Drosophila melanogaster: one gene and its partners. Changing the gene in region 2 together with the main gene of any one other region gives a genetic interaction. Each region holds a gene or a part of one and is shown on either strand. Other genes may lie near its edges.

Evidence for each region. Genes that interact genetically often act in the same process or in processes that back each other up.
Region 1: of bam (region 2) and CycA, changing one suppresses a phenotype caused by changing the other (phenotypic suppression), as found in Drosophila melanogaster (one study listed by BioGRID).
Region 3: of bam (region 2) and eIF4E1, changing one suppresses a phenotype caused by changing the other (phenotypic suppression), as found in Drosophila melanogaster (one study listed by BioGRID).

Annotation. Positions count from the first base shown.
Region 1 is NT_037436.4:11,827,574-11,835,461, forward strand, and holds the start of CycA (cyclin A), read right to left. Parts: upstream 6,006-7,888; 5' UTR 5,496-6,005; coding exon 5,301-5,495; intron 4,674-5,300; coding exon 4,480-4,673; intron 4,410-4,479; coding exon 4,154-4,409; intron 3,272-4,153; exon of another isoform or gene 3,064-3,271; coding exon of another isoform or gene 2,044-3,063; intron 1,988-2,043; coding exon of another isoform or gene 1,862-1,987; exon of another isoform or gene 1,676-1,861; intron 1,617-1,675; exon of another isoform or gene 1,457-1,616; intron 1,112-1,456; coding exon 888-1,111; intron 820-887; coding exon 615-819; intron 545-614; coding exon 297-544; intron 233-296; coding exon 79-232; 3' UTR 1-78. Other genes in the region: CG7264 (uncharacterized protein), read left to right, coding at 1,862-1,987, 2,044-3,063; CG43064 (uncharacterized protein), read right to left, coding at 7,674-7,888. UniProt on the Drosophila melanogaster protein: Essential for the control of the cell cycle at the G2/M (mitosis) transition. Interacts with the Cdk1 and Cdk2 protein kinases to form MPF. G2/M cyclins accumulate steadily during G2 and are abruptly destroyed at mitosis.
Region 2 is NT_033777.3:25,242,508-25,246,957, forward strand, and holds bam (bag of marbles), read right to left. Parts: upstream 2,603-4,450; 5' UTR 2,470-2,602; coding exon 1,982-2,469; intron 1,918-1,981; coding exon 1,547-1,917; intron 1,486-1,546; coding exon 1,016-1,485; 3' UTR 532-1,015; downstream 1-531. Other genes in the region: CG11854 (uncharacterized protein), read left to right, coding at 1-140, 203-507; RpS27 (ribosomal protein S27), read right to left, coding at 3,846-3,874, 3,941-4,160. UniProt on the Drosophila melanogaster protein: Regulatory component of a deubiquitinase complex consisting of bam and otu. The complex deubiquitinates K63-linked polyubiquitinated proteins, antagonizing the ubiquitination activity of Traf6 and regulating the IMD immune signaling pathway.
Region 3 is NT_037436.4:9,399,113-9,404,432, forward strand, and holds eIF4E1 (eukaryotic translation initiation factor 4E1), read right to left. Parts: upstream 3,349-5,320; 5' UTR 3,192-3,348; coding exon of another isoform or gene 3,168-3,191; exon of another isoform or gene 2,805-3,167; intron 2,694-2,804; exon of another isoform or gene 2,545-2,693; intron 2,495-2,544; 5' UTR 1,985-2,494; coding exon 1,928-1,984; intron 1,842-1,927; coding exon 1,471-1,841; intron 1,407-1,470; coding exon 1,307-1,406; intron 1,073-1,306; coding exon 985-1,072; intron 922-984; coding exon 758-921; 3' UTR 506-757; downstream 1-505. UniProt on the Drosophila melanogaster protein: Recognizes and binds the 7-methylguanosine (m7G)-containing mRNA cap during an early step in the initiation of protein synthesis and facilitates ribosome binding by inducing the unwinding of the mRNAs secondary structures.

The sequences.
Region 1 (7,888 bases), on a different chromosome or scaffold from region 2:
TTATAACTAAAACTACATAATGTTACATGGAAACACTAAACTAATATACAATTTGGCCATGACAGCGGCTCAAAACACTTAAAACTTATAAAACAAATTCACGTTCGATTTAGTATTAATATCCGGCTGCTGGTGCTCATCCTCTTTCTGCTTGCAATTGTAAGCCTCACAGAGCTGATCGAAGTCGTCCTTGCTCATCTCAACGGATTCCATCATAGCCACCTTCTTGTAACTGTTAAGAAATACATTTGGTCAACACGGGCTCATTCTTCGGCTATCTAGTGTTTGCGACTTACGTGTCTCTATTGTACTTTTCCCGCATGGCCTGCGTGTTGAGCTCCTTTGCCGTTTTGTGGGTGTGACACAGATGCAACACAACCGTTTTTAGGTCCTCCAGCTTGTAAGTCGTGATCTCCTCCAGCCTTGGCGTCCACATCTCCATGCCCAAAATGTGACGCGCCAGTGCGACTGAAGCGGATGACATAAGTGATGGCAAATATTGCAAGTACGTTTCTCCCTCCATGAGCGACAACTCGGAAATATACTGTGTCAGGTAAACATTAAGTTAAGTTTCGGCTTTGTTTCTTTTTTCTTTTGTATTGGCAATAGCTTACCAGCGTCATGTACTTCAGCTTCTCAGGCATGTCGCAAAGTACAGCATAGGTGTTGATGAAGACGTAAGCAGTCGGTGTGCACAGATCGAAGGAGAGAATCTTCAAGATAACCTGCTCCATGCGTAGCACCTGCGCCTTGGTGTAACTGTCGTCGGTGAGGAAGACAAACTCACCGACCTCTGGGGGATAGATTTCCTCGTATTTTCTGAAAAATAAAAAAATAAACCCCATGAATACACACACCATTATTACCGGACTATCAAGAATACTTACGCGGCAATATACATAGCTGCCGTGCCCACCAGCTGTAACTTGGAGCGCACCACCGCCATTTGGCTCAAAAATCGATCTAGATAAAAGACCGAGAGATAGAGCGTCTCCGTGTCCAGTTTGTACTCCTCGGAAACCTCAACCAGCCAATCAATAAGGATGGAGCGCATATTGTGGCTAATGTCCTTCTGTCTGCGCATATAGAGTGGCTTGGGGCGATGTTTCTTCTGGAAGATGCAAACACATGCAAACAAATGATTAGAAACCGATTAGATTACCCGGCCTAACAAAAATTACTAAGCCAAACTTTTAATACTTTAGGTTAGGATTCGCATATATATAGCTTATGCCTTTTCTACACTCTAATCTGGCAACCAACTACCCGTTCCCAGTTTCATCTTAAGAAGGTGTCAAAAATGTACAAATTTCACGGGAGAAAAAGCCGTACAGTCATCAAATCAAGCGTATAAATACCATAGGAGAAGTGGCAAACAACAGCTGGGGGAGGGAGTTAACCGATTTTTATTTATTTATTGGTTATTTCGTAGTACGTGAGTCGCATCGAAATTCCCAGTTCGAACTTAAATTTCTTTGCCAAACACCTACATATATGTACATATATATGGGCAATATGTACATTAGGTGATTATTTTATGGTCGCTTTAACGATTATTGGAACCGTCAAGCGACTCGAGCTGCAAAAATTAAAGAATTCGATTGACATGAATATATGTACATACATCAGCATTTGTTTTATATTAAGGCAGTTAACTCCCATGAAATTATTATAGATATATGTAAATAGTCTGTAACTAGTAGGTTACAGAGGTAGTAGTAGAGGCAAACAATAAACAAAGCACCCAGCAACCGGGCAAACAAAGTCAACTCAGGCATATATCCACATCCTACTAACAAGAAGAGACAGACATATCGACCTCGAATACAGTTGAACATCTTTTATAACTAACTCCGGCACAATGACGCTCAAAATCGGTATATGCACCAAGCAGGATCTCGACGAGGCGATGAAGCTGCAGAAGCGGGAGCAGTACGAAGATGAGCGGAAGCGGCGCATTTTTAATGCCAAACAGCGTCTTTACGGGGTAAGTATGCATCTGCAGACTGGGTGAGCTTCATTGCCGAATATTCCTATTCACAGCTCGACCTAGAAATGCTGGATCGCCAAATACTTGAGAAAAAGAAGCAGCGAACCGCCCAGATGGAGTGCGACAAGAAATTTGAAGAACAGGAGCAGCTGCAGAAGCGTCTGATCCTGGCCCAGGAAATGGAGTTGGAGAAAAAACAGCGTGTGGTGGACTCGGATCTTAACTATTATCGCTGCCGCTATCAGCGCAAGGAGCAGCGCCGCGAATTCGACCTAAATGATCCGAATTTCTTGAAGAAGGCACGTCCAACAAGAGTCGCCGACAATGACATTTCGCTGGGCGTGTCCAGTGCCCAGATCTTTCAAGGCGAGGACCTCTATAACTCTGACAGAAAGCAGCGGCAGCGGGAGCAGCAAAGAGCCTGGCTGGATCAGCAAGTGCAGGAGCGTAAGAGGGCGGAGGATGCTCGCAAGCAGGCCGATAATGTGTTGATGGACAACGTTGGTTGCAGAGACAAGCATCTGCAGGAGATGGCCAAGTCTGATCACCAGATGCGCAACCAAGTCATCCAGCGAGTGCGTCAGTTCAATATCAACATGGCCAAGCAGAAGCAATTGGACCGCGAAAGGGAAAAGCGTGAAAAGTACGAGGATGACATGGCCGAGATCTATAACATGCTCTCCAGCGATATGCTAACTGAAAATCCGGATGTGGCTCAATCGCGCACCGATCCGAACAAGAAGATTGCCTTCATGTATCGCGGCATGACGCCCGAAGAACTTCGCGTGTTTCGTCTTGGACAAGATCAGCAGCTTCGTTTGTCTATTCAGCGCAAGACGGAGGCCCAGATGATGGACAAACAGTGGGAGCAATACTCCATTAATATGGACCGCACCCTGGTCCTTCACCAAATCGAGGATGATCGCCGACGTAAGGCGGAATTCGATGAGCTGATGCGGGCGAATTCCAAGTTGGCCGTGGAGCAGGATCGCCAGCGCAAGGAAGCCCTTGTGGGCCTAACCAATGCCGTCTCCGATGACTTTTACGATCAGTTCAACAAGAACTCACGTTAGTGGGATTGTATTGAAGTTCCCAACCAAGACGATTCGAGAATAATGAGCTGGATGCGATTAGAAAGCTGCCTCACTTTCTTGTGCAGCAACTTTCCATAGGCGTCCAGAACATTGTACTATTTTAAAAATACAATCTTTGTTGGGAATCTTCACGACGAAATTATAATGTTCATGTTGGAAACAAAGCATTTCAAATATTTAAAAATTTAAAAAAAAAAAAAGACAAAAACCCATCTCTAGTAAAAACTGAAATATCAAGGGAAAATAAAGAATACGCCCATTCTGGACAAAACCTAATCCTTGTGTTGTTGTTTTGTATTATTTAATGTTGTTTTCGAGTTTTGTAATTTAACTATCGATTTTAAAATATTTTTAAATTTTTTTTATTTGTTTTGGTTTTCTAGTTTTTTAAATTCTTTATCAATTTTAAAACTTTTTTGGTTTTAATTTTTTTTTTAGTTTTTAAACTTATTTTAATTTTTAATCTTTTATTTACTAACGTAGGAAACAAACTACAATAGTAGTCAACCTCCCTCTGCAAGTCGAATTCCATTGGTACCCCGAGTGTTCTACGACTTTGGACGAATGAGAAAAAGAGAGTCAACAACAACGACAAAGGATGAGACGGACGCAGACAGACAAGCGTTTCGCTTCCCGCCCAACAAACATGTGCCCGCGAGCGGGAATAAGTGTACCCATGAACCCATAAAGAGGCAGCGTTGCGTGAAGGGAATGCCAACGGAGGGTGCGACAGGGTCCGACTTCCCCTAAGAAATTACGTCTGCCTGCGTCTGCACAGAAAAGTACAATGCACATGGCCAAGTAAGTAGTAACACATTGAAAACGCAAGATACCTTGGGAAAAAATTCCAAATTTATGCCAGAAAACATGACTGCAATACCCTGGAAGATAATCAAGGAAAACTCGACCTGATAAAAGTTGTCCACTTCAGTTACTAGTTAAAAAATATCATTGTCTTTGACAATGATTACGCGATGAAAGCGAGTTTGTGAGTTTGAAATATTTTTGTGAGGAAGTCATCTAATAATATCATATTGAAGCCTATGTTTATGTCCCTGGTTTAGCTTACCTCGCTCTCCCGGAAATATTCCAGAATGTCCATCTGGTACTGAACCACTTCCAGGAACCGCTGGCGATCGTTGCGCGGCGGAAGCTCCTTGACTCTTCCAGTTGGCGAGACTCCCGTTTCAGTGCCCACGCTGATATCACTGGACTGTATGACACCGAGAATGGAGCGGTCCACGGACATGGGGGACTGAACATCCGTCACGGACATGGGTGTTGAATCCAGATCGTAGTCTACCAGCTCCTTCTGCCCAGCACCGCTGAATGGAGTGAAAAAAAAAACAAACAAAAGTTTGTTTGCGGCTTACCAAGTGACAGATGGAAACTTACAATTTCACGTCATGGTTCTCTTTGTCGACTAGGGAGGCCAGGGATTTGCCGGATGGCGCAACCTGGGTATCGTTGTTGTCCTCATACACGGAGAAGGTCTTGAATTGCTCCACCACGGGCACCACATTCGATTTCTTGGCGCCGTACTCCACATTCTCATCAACATTAAGATTTCTGACGTCACGGAAGACCTGCTGGAAGGAACAGAAGACGAAGAAGACAAATTCAACAATATGGTCAACTTACTATATTAGGTAATAATTTTATATTAGGTAATATTGCAGTGGGATTATAAAAGTAAAAACACAAAGATAATTCCTTTTACATATGCATCCTTAATATAGTAAGCAAAAAAGAAATAAAATGATTATCCCCCCCCATAAATCGATCCAACTTTAAGTTGCGCGCCTTTCCCTGGCTTCCCGTATTGCTCGTGTGTGTGTGTATGTGTGCACCTATACGCATGTGTGCGTTGCATGTCGCAATTGCTTTTGCCCTCCTTGCTTCGCTTTGTTGTTGCAAATCATCAAAAAGGCGCGTAATTGCAAGGCCTGTGTCTTTTTCTAGGTTAGTTAAGGTTCTAGGTTAGGCGCAAGTAAGTGCATTGGTCGTTCTAAGAAGAGAGTAACGTAAGATGGAGAAGTGAAAAGGATGGGATGGTAGGGGAGAGGTAAGGGAGAGAAAACCACCACCACCACTAGGAGATCTCACACATGCGCACGGTCGCAGTGGTGTGACGATCCCACCACCATAAAAATATAAAAAGGCAGCTGCATTGGAATTAGGCACTGGATGTACGGGAAATCGGCAACGGTACTTACAACTTTCCCGGCCGGACGCGGCACATTGTTGTTGCCATTGAGCACGGCGAAATTGGCCCGCGGCGCAAGCGCATTTTTCTCCGCTTTTCCCCCAATTACGGCCAGCGGCTGCTTGGTGTTCTTCACTCCGGCCGGAATCTTAATGCCCGGATTCTCCTTGTTGCTCATGTCTTGGTGGATCTGGAAACTGGCCATGGTGCGCTCTTTCCTACTCCTTTTTTCGCCTTGTAAAATGGAGTCCGATTATGCTCTGCTCTTCCCTTCCTTCTCTCTTTCTCTTAGCGTCGTTGCCTTCTTGCTGTTGTTGTTACTGCTGCTGCCGTTGTTGTTGTTTTGTGCTGCTTTCTTATGCTCGACGCTCACACCGATACGCACACATTCACAGGCTCATATGCTCAACGAAGACGCAGACATGTGTACATTAGGCGCAGGCAAATTTTATCATCGACAAATTGACGCTTGAATTACACGCACACACACAGTTTTGTACAGAATTCATTTGACTTTCAATTTCGTACGGAAGTTTGTGTCACGGCAGCGTTGGAATTAGTTTCCTTGTTTGGCTACGCTCGCACGGACTTAGCTAATATTAAGTATTTTACAAACTCCGTACTTGTTCAGCGGTTCGTGGTTTAAAAGCAATTGCTGGCTTCTTTTGATTTTTTCCCGGTCAACACGTCGTAAATGTTAGAGATGACACTGTCCAGCTATCGATAGGTCGTGGCGTCTATCGACATTTGCCGACAGTGTGGCCATATATGTCAGAAGTTTGTTTTTTAGGACTGGCAACTCCAGCAGTGCGCAAAATTTAAAAATGTGTATAACGTTAATTTTTATTTTTGCCGAAGTCCATTGTTTTTGCATAGTTTTTAAAAATGAGTGCATATTTATTTAGTTCTAAGCTTTAGAGATCAAACCAATAATACATATTAAAGGTTTATAAAAAGGGTTTGGAATAAGTTCTTCATGGGTTTGTAAGCATTGTTTTGAAGTTAATCGAATATATATGTATTATATCCATATATATAATCCATATATTATGTCCACGGTAATCGCTTAAGTTGTTATTACTGTTGCTTTGATTAAGATTAAGAATTCACTGCAAAGCGAACTTGACAAAAATCAATTAAACAACTGTTTATCAAAATATAATTAAATAGAAAGCGTAATGTTTTTGATGAAATGTTTAAATAATCGACGTATTAGGACACTTGGAAAAATGTTTAGGTTACAATTAAAAAAAATGGCTAGGCTTTTGGACTTTCGGTCTCGAGTGGCTCCAAAAATCGTTTCTGTCCCAGAAATAAATCGAAACAGGAAAAAAAACTTTTCCCCTTTTCGAAAGTCCTTTCAAACAAAGTGGCCGCTCGAAGTTTTGAACAAATTATGAACTGCATGCAACAGAAAGTACACAATTAACAACAACCACCGCGTTAAATTTAAGAGCAGCAACTCTCTAATTAACTTTTTAAAGAGCTTTATTTCGGCTACTGCGATTATTATTATTTGGCTGTCAGTGGAAAACCCAAAAAAAGTTAAGCGAAACTTTTTCTTTTCAATACGCCTAACGATGCTACCCATTTATAAAAAATATGTTAGTGTAAATACAAAAGTATATATATTTATCAATTCGGATGACTTTCACGATTAGAAAGATATAACGAAATACGCCATACGTCTTCCCTATGAATTTCTAATGGGAGGGGCTGTGAGATATTTATAGAAAATACAAATATAACATTCATTATAATAAATAATAGGTGAATTTGTTAACAGTTATGGTAATTGTTTTGATTTCTAATCTTCTTAAAAAATATGTATCCTGATTTCTTAACCCTTTTAAGTTTAAGAATATAACAACATAACGTGGTGGCTTAAATATTTGTCATAACTATTAAATATGTATTGTTTTTGACTTAATTCAGCATTGTACATACATGTATGTATGTATGACTCTTGCCACGATTATTTTGTGAACGGAAGAGTATGTTTTCTAGAGCAGCTGCGCCTCCCTAAGAAAATAAAGAAAAGGTGTATCGGATTTTGCATTGTTTTGCACGAGACATTTCGCAACTGCCGGCCTAAAAACTAAATCAGTTAGGAACCCAAAGAAGTACGAACACAATGAGCTAACCAACATTCTGATCCTGCACACAAATGCTGACCTTTGCGATCTCGATGTCCTGGAGACCAGGTAGCAGGACAACCGACTAGCAGTTACACAATTGTATAATATCGTTGGCCCCAGCAGCTCTGGAAATATACATAAAATACCTTACAGGGTCAAATAATAATTACCAATATAGTAAGGCAATATTTGGCGAAAGTCAAACGTTTTTTTATTAACTAACAAAAAATGCTGTTCGTTTGTAATTAATCTAATTCATTAGTATCTTTGTTCATCAATATGGGACTCTTTAAATAGCCGTTAATGAACTGAATGTTCCTCTTGCCCTTCGGAACCGGAAGATTAAGGCTCCAATCAACAGATGATTCGTGCAAATAGATTTTAATTTTTCTGTGACTGTACAAACTTAAAGCTTTTAACACAAATTCAAAGGTGATTTCCCTGGCAAACCGGACACTAA
Region 2 (4,450 bases):
CGGATTCACAAGGGATCTCAGCCGCTCCATCGAGCTGGTCATGGAAGTTCCAGAAATAGGAGTCAGAGGACCCTACTCGGTGGACGGAAGAATACTCATTCTGCCCATCACCGGAAATGGCATTGCTGACATACGCCTCAGTAAGATTTGCCTCCCACAGCTTTGAAATCTAAAATTTTTAATGTGTTTCTGGAATTCGCAGCTAGAACAAAGGTACGTGCACAGATCAAATTGAAGCGCGTCTCCAAGGGCGATCATCAAACCTACGCCGAGGTGATGAACATAAAGGTTGAGCTGGATCCATCCCATGTGACCTACCAGCTGGAAAATCTGTTCAACGGCCAGAAAGATCTCAGCGAGAACATGCACGCGCTTATCAATGAGAACTGGAAGGACATCTTCAATGAACTGAAACCGGGCATTGGCGAGGCCTTCGGACTGATAGCCAAGTCGGTGGTGGACAGGATCTTTGGCAAACTGCCGCTCGAACAGCTCTTTGTAGTCTAAGACCTTAGTACAAACACCCTAATTAGTCCAAACACAAATCGTAAATATTTATTTGACTTTCAAAATACAAATGCAAAGCAAATAAGAAAAACTGGTAAGTTCCTCATACAAATAAAACGTAGTTGCAAAATAAATTCAGGCACTAAAGGATTTCTTATTTCTAAAGTTTAAGTAAAATACAGATTTATAAAAGTGAAAAGCAAACACATTTGTAGTTTTGCCAAATAAATGTAAACACAGTTAAACTTATATAAATTTGTTATCAATCTCAAAACAGGGGTAATAAATCGTTTTCATTTTGATTTTGTTTGTATCGATTTGATAAATATTTTTAAAAAGCTTATATAAGCTTATTCACGAATACAAATATGGAGTCCGCACTATTGGACAAATATATCTTACACTATAGATATGTTTACTTTACGAAATTATTGCTTCCCATGAGAAGAGTAGCTTTTTTAAATTGCATATTTGCTGTCATTCTTTTATCGATGTGCACAGCATTAGTTTAGCTTCTGAAGCGAGGTACACGTCCGGTGTGACGAGGTGGCGATGATGGCACTTCCTCGGTCTCCTCAAACTCCTCCTCCGACGCTGACGGCTGCTCCATGCTCACTGCGCCAAGCTTCTGTGGCCCGCAAATGGCGACAACACTGGGCGGGAAATAGGTCTCTGGATTGGCGATCAGAGCGGAGAGGAACTCATGCTGCTCCAGAACGCAATAGATCGGACCTCCCAGTTTGTATCTCTGGGCGATGAACAGATCCTCCGCACTGATTCCACGCGCTTCGGCCGCCCTTAGCTCGGCACCGGACAAAAGGATGGCCCGCTCGTTCAACGACTTGTGGCTTTCGGTCATGGCCCCGGAGTAGCGGTGCTCCAGATCCATTTCCCAGTTAAATACGTGCACACTGAGATGCGCAGCCTTGATCCAATCGCGCAGACCAATTAGCAATCTCTCCATGCGCTGAGTATGGACTGTAAATAATAAAATCGTTGCAGGAATAGCTGAATGGTTGCTTGCAAATCTACAGCTTACACTTGTCCGCATTGCTCCCCGAGTTTCCGTTTCGATTGCGCATTTTGGGCTTTAAAAGCAGTTTGAAGTTGTCCAAATAGGATGCGAAACCCTTAAGCAACTTGTCACACTCGTCGTATTTCTCGAAATCGAAGTGGCGATTCGCCTCCAAGGTGCGGCGCTGCTGGACAAGGAAGCGCTCTACTTTGGTGCACAGCACCTGCAGTTGGTAGCGCACATTCAAGCTCTTAGGCATCGTGCTCTTCACCGGCATATCGAACAGATAGTCCGAGGGCATTGAGTTTTGGCGCGAGAAGCCCAAATCGGCGGTCAGGTGATCATGCAGGGATCTGAACAGATTCATCAAACGCAGCACGGCGTTGTGCTCTAAGCTATTGTTTAGATAAGGAGCTTTTTATTATGTGATATATTTGGGATATACTCCAGAAGACTCACCAATCGCCGTGCAGACCAATCATATGCAGTTTCTCAATAGTTATGGGCAGTTTCTCAATATTATCCGCGGACGCAGAGCCTTTACTCTTCCGGTTCCACACATTTTCCTTCTGCAGTTGCTTCTGCTTTGGCCCGGTGACCAACACGCCTCCGGATCGCGACTTCTTGGCCGGAGAACCGTCGAATGCAAAATGGCGCGAGCGCTTTTGAATCTGTTGCAAGCAATCCAAACCGTGGAATTCGAGGAGTGGTGCAGTAACGTCACACAACCGGAGTCTACCGAAGTTCTCCTGGATTTCGGATAAAACGCCCGATGTGCAGGTTGCACCATCTTCGTTCGTATCCTCGTACTCACAAGTGGCTTTCCTCGGATCTTCGTTTTCATTGCCTTCCACCATTAAGGCCAAATGCTCCTCCATCTGCTTAAAATTGTGGTCCAACTGCTGGTCGTCGTTGCCCTCAGGACACACGTCACGTGCATTAAGCATTATTCTTAAGTTAAATCACACAAATCACTCGATTTTTGCCTTTTAAATCTTTCCTTATCGCCAGGTTCTTTTTACCGTTTGAAATGCCTGACGCCACGCTGTCTGCGAATTCAGGAGAAAGAGGAAGAATGATGGCGTCCAGACTCTTTGTTGTTAACGTATCGATATCATGTCGAGTCCCAGAACAGGGTTGCCGTCGCACAAATAAGTTTCAATTTATGGTCACCTCAAAAGGTCATTGACCCGGGCGCATTTAAAGAAATTTGAAATGCGATTCAATAATCCATTACGAACTTTACATTTTAACTACAATTATACACACTGATTTGGTCGATCACAACCAAATCAAATTGCTGATTAATTATAAAACAACATGCAACAATTTAGGCCACCTATATTTTAATTATCTAGTGGTTTTGTATAAAGCAAGCCAAAGCATTATTTAACAATTTGGGATTTATCACATTTTGTATAAATTATCATATATCGTGACAATAATAATGAAGTAGCAATAACCCATTTTCATATTCAATTTGTTTTTGTAATTCTGACGACGATAAGCTTCTAAAATTGCGCGCAAATTTAGAATAATGTATGGCATCCCCACTTCCTAACATCTGGCAGCTCCGTTAATATGACAAGCTTAGCTTAGACACAAACCAGTATACATTTTACATTTGTTGGTTCGAATACTGACTAGTTAAACAACGTGACTATTTTCATTTTTTTAATTATAAATATTTAAATAAATAAATAAATTCCGCTTCCCAACTTCTATAAAACTATACACATTTGATTCAATTTTTTCCAGACTGACGCAGCAAAATTTTGGCGCTCATCCAAATAAAAATAAGACAAACAAGCTAAGTATATGCGATCCGAATAACCAACCATTCTAAAGATTTTTTGAGTCGGTTACAAAATTCTTGAAAAAATGCTGAATGCCCAATCATTAGAAGCCTCACAAAATCTCGATTTAGAGCCTATGAAACATTCTTTATTGTTGTGAAGTTAATCAATGGTTAGATCTAAGCATAACTAGTGAAAAATTCCTGAAGTTTTGCCGCACAAGGGTATTTGCACACACAAGAGCTTCCATTATGGGCGGTTTCTTATCGGGGAACCCCAGCGATTGAGCTCCACTATCTATCCTGTTGGCAATTATCCACTTTCTATAAACAAATACGACAAGAACTGTTTTTTTTTTCACTTAGCCGACCACAACATCGTTAATTCTTTAATTCACAAAGCACAATGAACCAAAGGACCGCAGCAATTGAATTACAAGCTTTCTCTCGTATGGGTTCTGTGGTTTCTTTACGTTTTAGAGTTTTTATTAAAAAATTAATAATTTGTGGTTCATCGCGAGTCCCATTTTACTGTGGCTTCCTGCGGAAGGAGCAGCCTGAAAGAAAGACATCGTTTGGGTTAATTGCGAAGGAACATTGGACAGTGAGCATTTGGAGCATACCTTCTGTCAGCTTGGCGCGTCCTCCAGTCGGCTGGCACAAAATGGTAGCGCATCCAGCGCAGACCACGACGCCTTGGGCGTGGCTGAAGACGGTGGTGATCCTGTAGCAGCCGGGGCACTTCACGTCCATGAAGTACGAGTTGGGGTGCTGGACCAGGCGCTTCAGCTTGTGCTTGCGCTTCTCCTCGGCGGGCAGAGGGTGCAGAAGATCTTTTGCTAGCTGCAAGGTGAAAATAGTTTCAAAATTAGTATAAATTCATTTAATGTATATATTATACTATATGATTACGGCCAAATGTGTTGGATTACTTCAAGCCTAGATAATCCTCTAAATCTTAGTTATAAGTCGAAATTTCTTTGGCGCCAAACGTGTTGGTCCAACTTTGATCCAATAGGAAAACCAATTCTTTATTAATTAACGAAGAAGTAACTTTCTACCAATTTAAATACTTGAAAATATATTTTAAAGTATAACTACTTTGATCTTTAAGTTCTCAATTAACAATTCAT
Region 3 (5,320 bases), on a different chromosome or scaffold from region 2:
GCTTGTTAGAATTGCACATATATTTTATGTATTTTATTTAGCTAAACACGGAGACATATCCTTACACGATATCTACGAGCGACGCGACCAGTGTGACTGCGCCTACACAATTGAAACATGTCACATGCAGTGTGACCGTTCTTGGCTGAATGGAAAAGCTCTCACTCATATAAAATTCAATAATAGGTTAATAAAAAAAAAATACTGACTTATTTTTTAAATACAAACGTATTTACTCTAACAATATAAGTAAAAAGCTAAAATTATTTTAATGTCTATTTAGGAAACCTATCGATATATCGATACACATTTTTTTTTGGCCACCCTAGAAATTGCTAACGTATTTTTAGCAACAAATTGAATTCCAAATTTGGAAGTTTTGCTTTAGGTGCCCATATTAGGATACAAGCTCGTTTTAGTAATACAACAAGTAATTATCCCAAAAACAATATAGGTTAACTTTTTTCTATTTTAAAATATCTCCAAAATCAAAGATCAAAAGTATCCGGTTTTAATGTAGGTTTTTATTAATATACTTTTCCGTCTAATCCATTATTGACAGTGACTACAAAAAGCGGATAGATTTTATATTATGCCGATTTTTGATAACAAAGGGGGTTCCGTTTCGGTTTCGTTACGCGGGTCTTAGACAATAGTCACGATTAATCGCTACTGTTGCTTATAACGATAAATAAATGAAAGACAAAATAATCAGTGTGGGATCGGACCGAATAAGGAGCGGCCAGTTATTAGCCGCCTACAAAGTGTAGATCGATTTCACGTTGGAGCCCTGCTTGACCATCGTGTCCTTGTGCAACTGATACTGCAGCGAGTTGTTGCGTCCCAGACGCAGGGCATCGCGCAGCTTGTGACCAATCTCAAGGGCAGCTTCCTCGTTGTTTCCGTCGGCAGTCCAGATGGCTGGAAAGCATTAATCGTTAAACAAAGGAATTCCGCTGAAGTTGGGTGTGCGTGAAAACTTACATATCTTGTTGCTCTTGCCGCGAATGTTTATAACAGCGCCGCAGATCTGATCAGAGTGATCGAAGGCCTCACCAATCAGGCAGAGCAGCTGGAAGGCAAAACAGTTGTAGTTACTCATATGCGAAAAATATTTATGATATAAGCTCACTATTGAATGTTCCTAAGACAAAAGCTAGCACTAGCGTATTTTTAGCTGATATTTTCTATAAGTTATAATTTATATTGCAAAATCATACACCTATTTCTATATTTTTGCATTTCAAGAATGTACATTCACTATAAATAGACCATCCGCTCACCACTCGTTTCTTTGTGCACTTACCACATCGAGCCATAGGTTATCCAGATCGGTCTTGGAGCTTTTGTTAAGGGTAATGACCCAACGACCGCCCTGTTTGTTGGCTGCATCCTCCCACATGGGACTGCAAATGAGATATCAGTTAGTAAAGGTTATCTTGGCAGAATTGCAATAAACAGCAAACCCACCGAATGTTCTTCTTGAATAGCGAGTAGTCACTACCCAGCTTGATCTCTGATGGGGGCTTGATGTGGTTGTATAGGCTCCAGAAGTCCTCGACGGTATCGAAGCTGGTGATCTCGTTTTGCATGTCCTCCCAGGACTTGGACCGATCGTTTTCAAGGTACCACAGCGTCCAGACATTCATGAGCGGGTGTTTGTATAAATGCTCGGTGCGCACAGCATCGTCGCCGGCAGGAGCAGTAGTGGTTGCAGTGTTGCCTGCTGGTTCACCAGTCTCCTGTGGGTCCTCCTTGGGCTTGACATCCTTAGCCTCGGCGGGCGCTGCAGCCGAAGTTGGTGGTTCCGGACGACCCTGCTCGGTGCTGGGGGCGCTGGTCTGCGGGAGAAGATGGCAATGGATGGGAAGGGGAATCAGAAGATTAGATTAGCTTGGCTTAGCGACAGGCGCACTGAGAGTATTACTTTGAACATGGACTTGGGATTGGCAAAGTTCTTCATTCTGTGAAAGTCGCTCTGCATGTTGGCGGCCGTGTTTATTGGATGCGTTTGATGGTAGGATCAGTTCTTTTTCGGCTCCGGAGTGGGTTCGGATCGGTTTCGATTCGCCGTGATTCACTTGCCGCTCTCTCTCTGTCGCGGTGTTTGTGATAGTTGATAGTTGGTTGGTGCGTGTGTGTGCGAGAGAGCGAAGCTTTTGATTTCTGTTTGAGTGTGTGTGGATTTTGGATTGTTTCGTGATATCTCGCTCCCCTGCAGTTCGCTCTTCACTTGTGTATTATTAACCAAAAAACTAAGTAATGATAATACAAAAAACTCGTTAAACTTGTTGTTGCTGTATGGTTGAGTGGGTGTTGTAACTAATTATTGAGTATATGGTGTTGGAGTATCCTGTTTCACTTAAAATCGGACTAGGCTACTACTAAAATAGGCGAACTAATGCTGTTCCTAACGAACTCGGAATCGAAAGGGGCGATGGAATTACAGCACACACACACACGCGCACGTATCTGACATAAAAACACAGATTGCCTGTTGAAAGAATTGGAATTGTTGTTTTATATTTGAGTTAAAAGAGTTACTTGATTTTATTTTATGTTGCGGCTAAAATTCGTGTTCGAGTTCAAAGCAGCGGCGCGATTAACTGAAAAAAATTAACGTCAAAGAAAGGAGGTGGAAAGTGAAGAGGGAAAGCCAACGGTTTATTTACTGCAATGGCCGACAAAAATATGATTTAACTGTTCGCGACTGGTTAATTGCAGTAATTCACTCTTTTTCCATTCTTTCCATATTTGTCTCTCCGCTCTCCTATTTATGTATATGTAGCTAAAGAAGAACACACCCACACACACGCGCGCGATGTCTTGACAAGAGAGAGAGAGCGAGAACACTGAAAACGTGTGGTATGCGTATGCAAATGCGAAAGGAGAGAAAAAGAGAACGAGTGACCGCGAAAGAGAGATAGCTTGATAGAGACAGACAGAGATAGCGATAGCTATGACGTAGACAATAGCGTGCAAGTACAATTAATATTAAGCAATTGTGCAAAAAATAATCGGTGAACACAATGATGATGTAGCCACGCCAACTGCACACTTTTCCGCTCGACTATCGCCTCCCCTCTTGTGCAACAACCCTGTTTTTGTTGTTCCTGCCACGGCTCAGCCGAAATCGAAACCATGCGGCTCGCCGTTTCTCGCCTTACCTTCTCCGTCTCCAACACTACCATGATTTCGATGTATCGAAATGTATACTAGATATCGGTTACGCACTCAAGCTGCGTAGGTTACTGGGCTTAATTATTATTCGAATTATTTAATTCTTTAATTAAGTTTGGGATTTTGGTGGCCAGACAGTGTGGCCGTTGCCTAAAGGAAAGTTAGTGACGAGCGACCGAAGGCAGCTATCGATTGTTGAACAGGGCAACTCTGGAAATGCCTGTCACTGACTGATTGTTATAAAACCCAAGCAACCGTTACGTTTTTAAGGTTTCCATATATGTCATCTCTTCTATCTCTTTTCATGCGCGGAATTTACCATTTCACCATTAAAATACTAAAATTGTTAAATGTTTATCGGAGCTAAATATCATACTTTCTATTGTAATATTTGTATTTGAACCGAAATTCATTTTCTGTCATCCAGGTTTAAAATGAAACGATATTAAACAAGTTTATAACCAGTAAGTTACGCCTATTAGGAATCATTGAGGCCATAATAAGCCATTTTAAATAAACGCTTCTTATTGTCAAAAAACAAATAACTTGCTCCCATGGGAACTTTTTCAAGAACTGACCGAGCTTAACTTCCGCATAAAATGGCAAAGCAAATCTTAGAGCTTCAATCAAAGATATAAATGCAAACTTAATTGACATTTCATCTGATTCCCACAGCGCGATCGCCATCAACAACAACGTCATCGTCATTTATCATACACAATTTGTTGATGTTTTGAAGCCAGCAAAAAATAACAATATATTATAAATAATTATCAAAAATGTTTAATACGGACAAGCCCAGAAAACCTGATTTTTGGTTGAAAATTAGGTCTTCGTTTTTATTTAGACACTGGCATCATCAATTGGAATTTAATAACAAAATAACAAACATAAGAATGAATCAATGAGTTTTCCATATAATGCGACTCTATATTGTTTAAGTTTTCTTGAGAATTCCAGAAACTTTCGAGAATATCCAAAAATAAAATAACAAAGTAACGATATTACTTTAGTTAGAACTTGGACGTCATTGGTTAAATTTTGCCACAAAACTAAGTCTAACCTGTTGGTGAATCATGACTAACCCAGAACCTTAGTTGTTACCAAAGCTGCTTCGTATTTGAATCCAACCAAAATTCTTTCCACACATTATTGGCTCGCCTTTGTCTGCTTTAAAAATAGCCAAAAGATCCCAAAACAACATGGGAATATTTATGAGGGATGGATAATATTACCGCTGATGATGTGGCGCTTTTAGAAACGCTTGACTTTCAAAATAGACTGTTGCAGTTGAGACGCAATCCGAAAATTGAAGATGCTTACGAACTTAGCCTGAGAAACGTGAAGCGTGTTTATTATTTAAATAGTTAAGTCATTTTGTAACCGATCAACTGCGCAGTTGCCCTTGTAAATGCCTAATAAGCGGCTTTCAAGAGCTCGGCACGATCGTTGGATCGATGATCCGAAAACCCAAGATCCCTTCCCGAAACCCAAGATCCGTGGTCTCTAATTACACTTGAGCCGGTCTTATTGAACTGACACTTGATCGCCTGTCCAAGTGTTGATGTGATTACCCATCGCATCCTCTATTCCAATCGCATCGCATCTAATTATGCAGCAGTCAATTGCGGACTTCAAGTGCTTGGCGCATGTCTAAACAAAAAAACTTCCGCCGATCTACAGGAAACCCGGAGTCAAAGTTAAACCTTAGGCAGTATACTTTGCATTAATTGGAAGTAAAAAGTAATTGAAGCGCTCAAAGATGCTTAATTGTAAATAAATCATAGTCAAGTGGTTAGGTTATAAAGTTCGATAAATAAGGTTTCGACTAATGGGTACCTTGTAACTTATACAGAACCTGTATAAAAAATTGTACTTTTTCGTACTATTTTCATAAATTATGCAACAAATAAAATTAAGAATTATGAAGAAAAATGGGTATCTAAATGCTAGTTATACCATCAAGATAAGATGATCGAAACCAGATTTCAGACACCCAGTCGCCGAATATGCTTACTGAACCAATGAATTCCGATTGGTCAAAAAAGTATCTTTAAGATACTCGAAACTGACAGCCAACGAGCGCTGAAAATGCCACTTGAATCGTTTCGAAAAGGGTTCTGTGGCAGTCAACAATAGA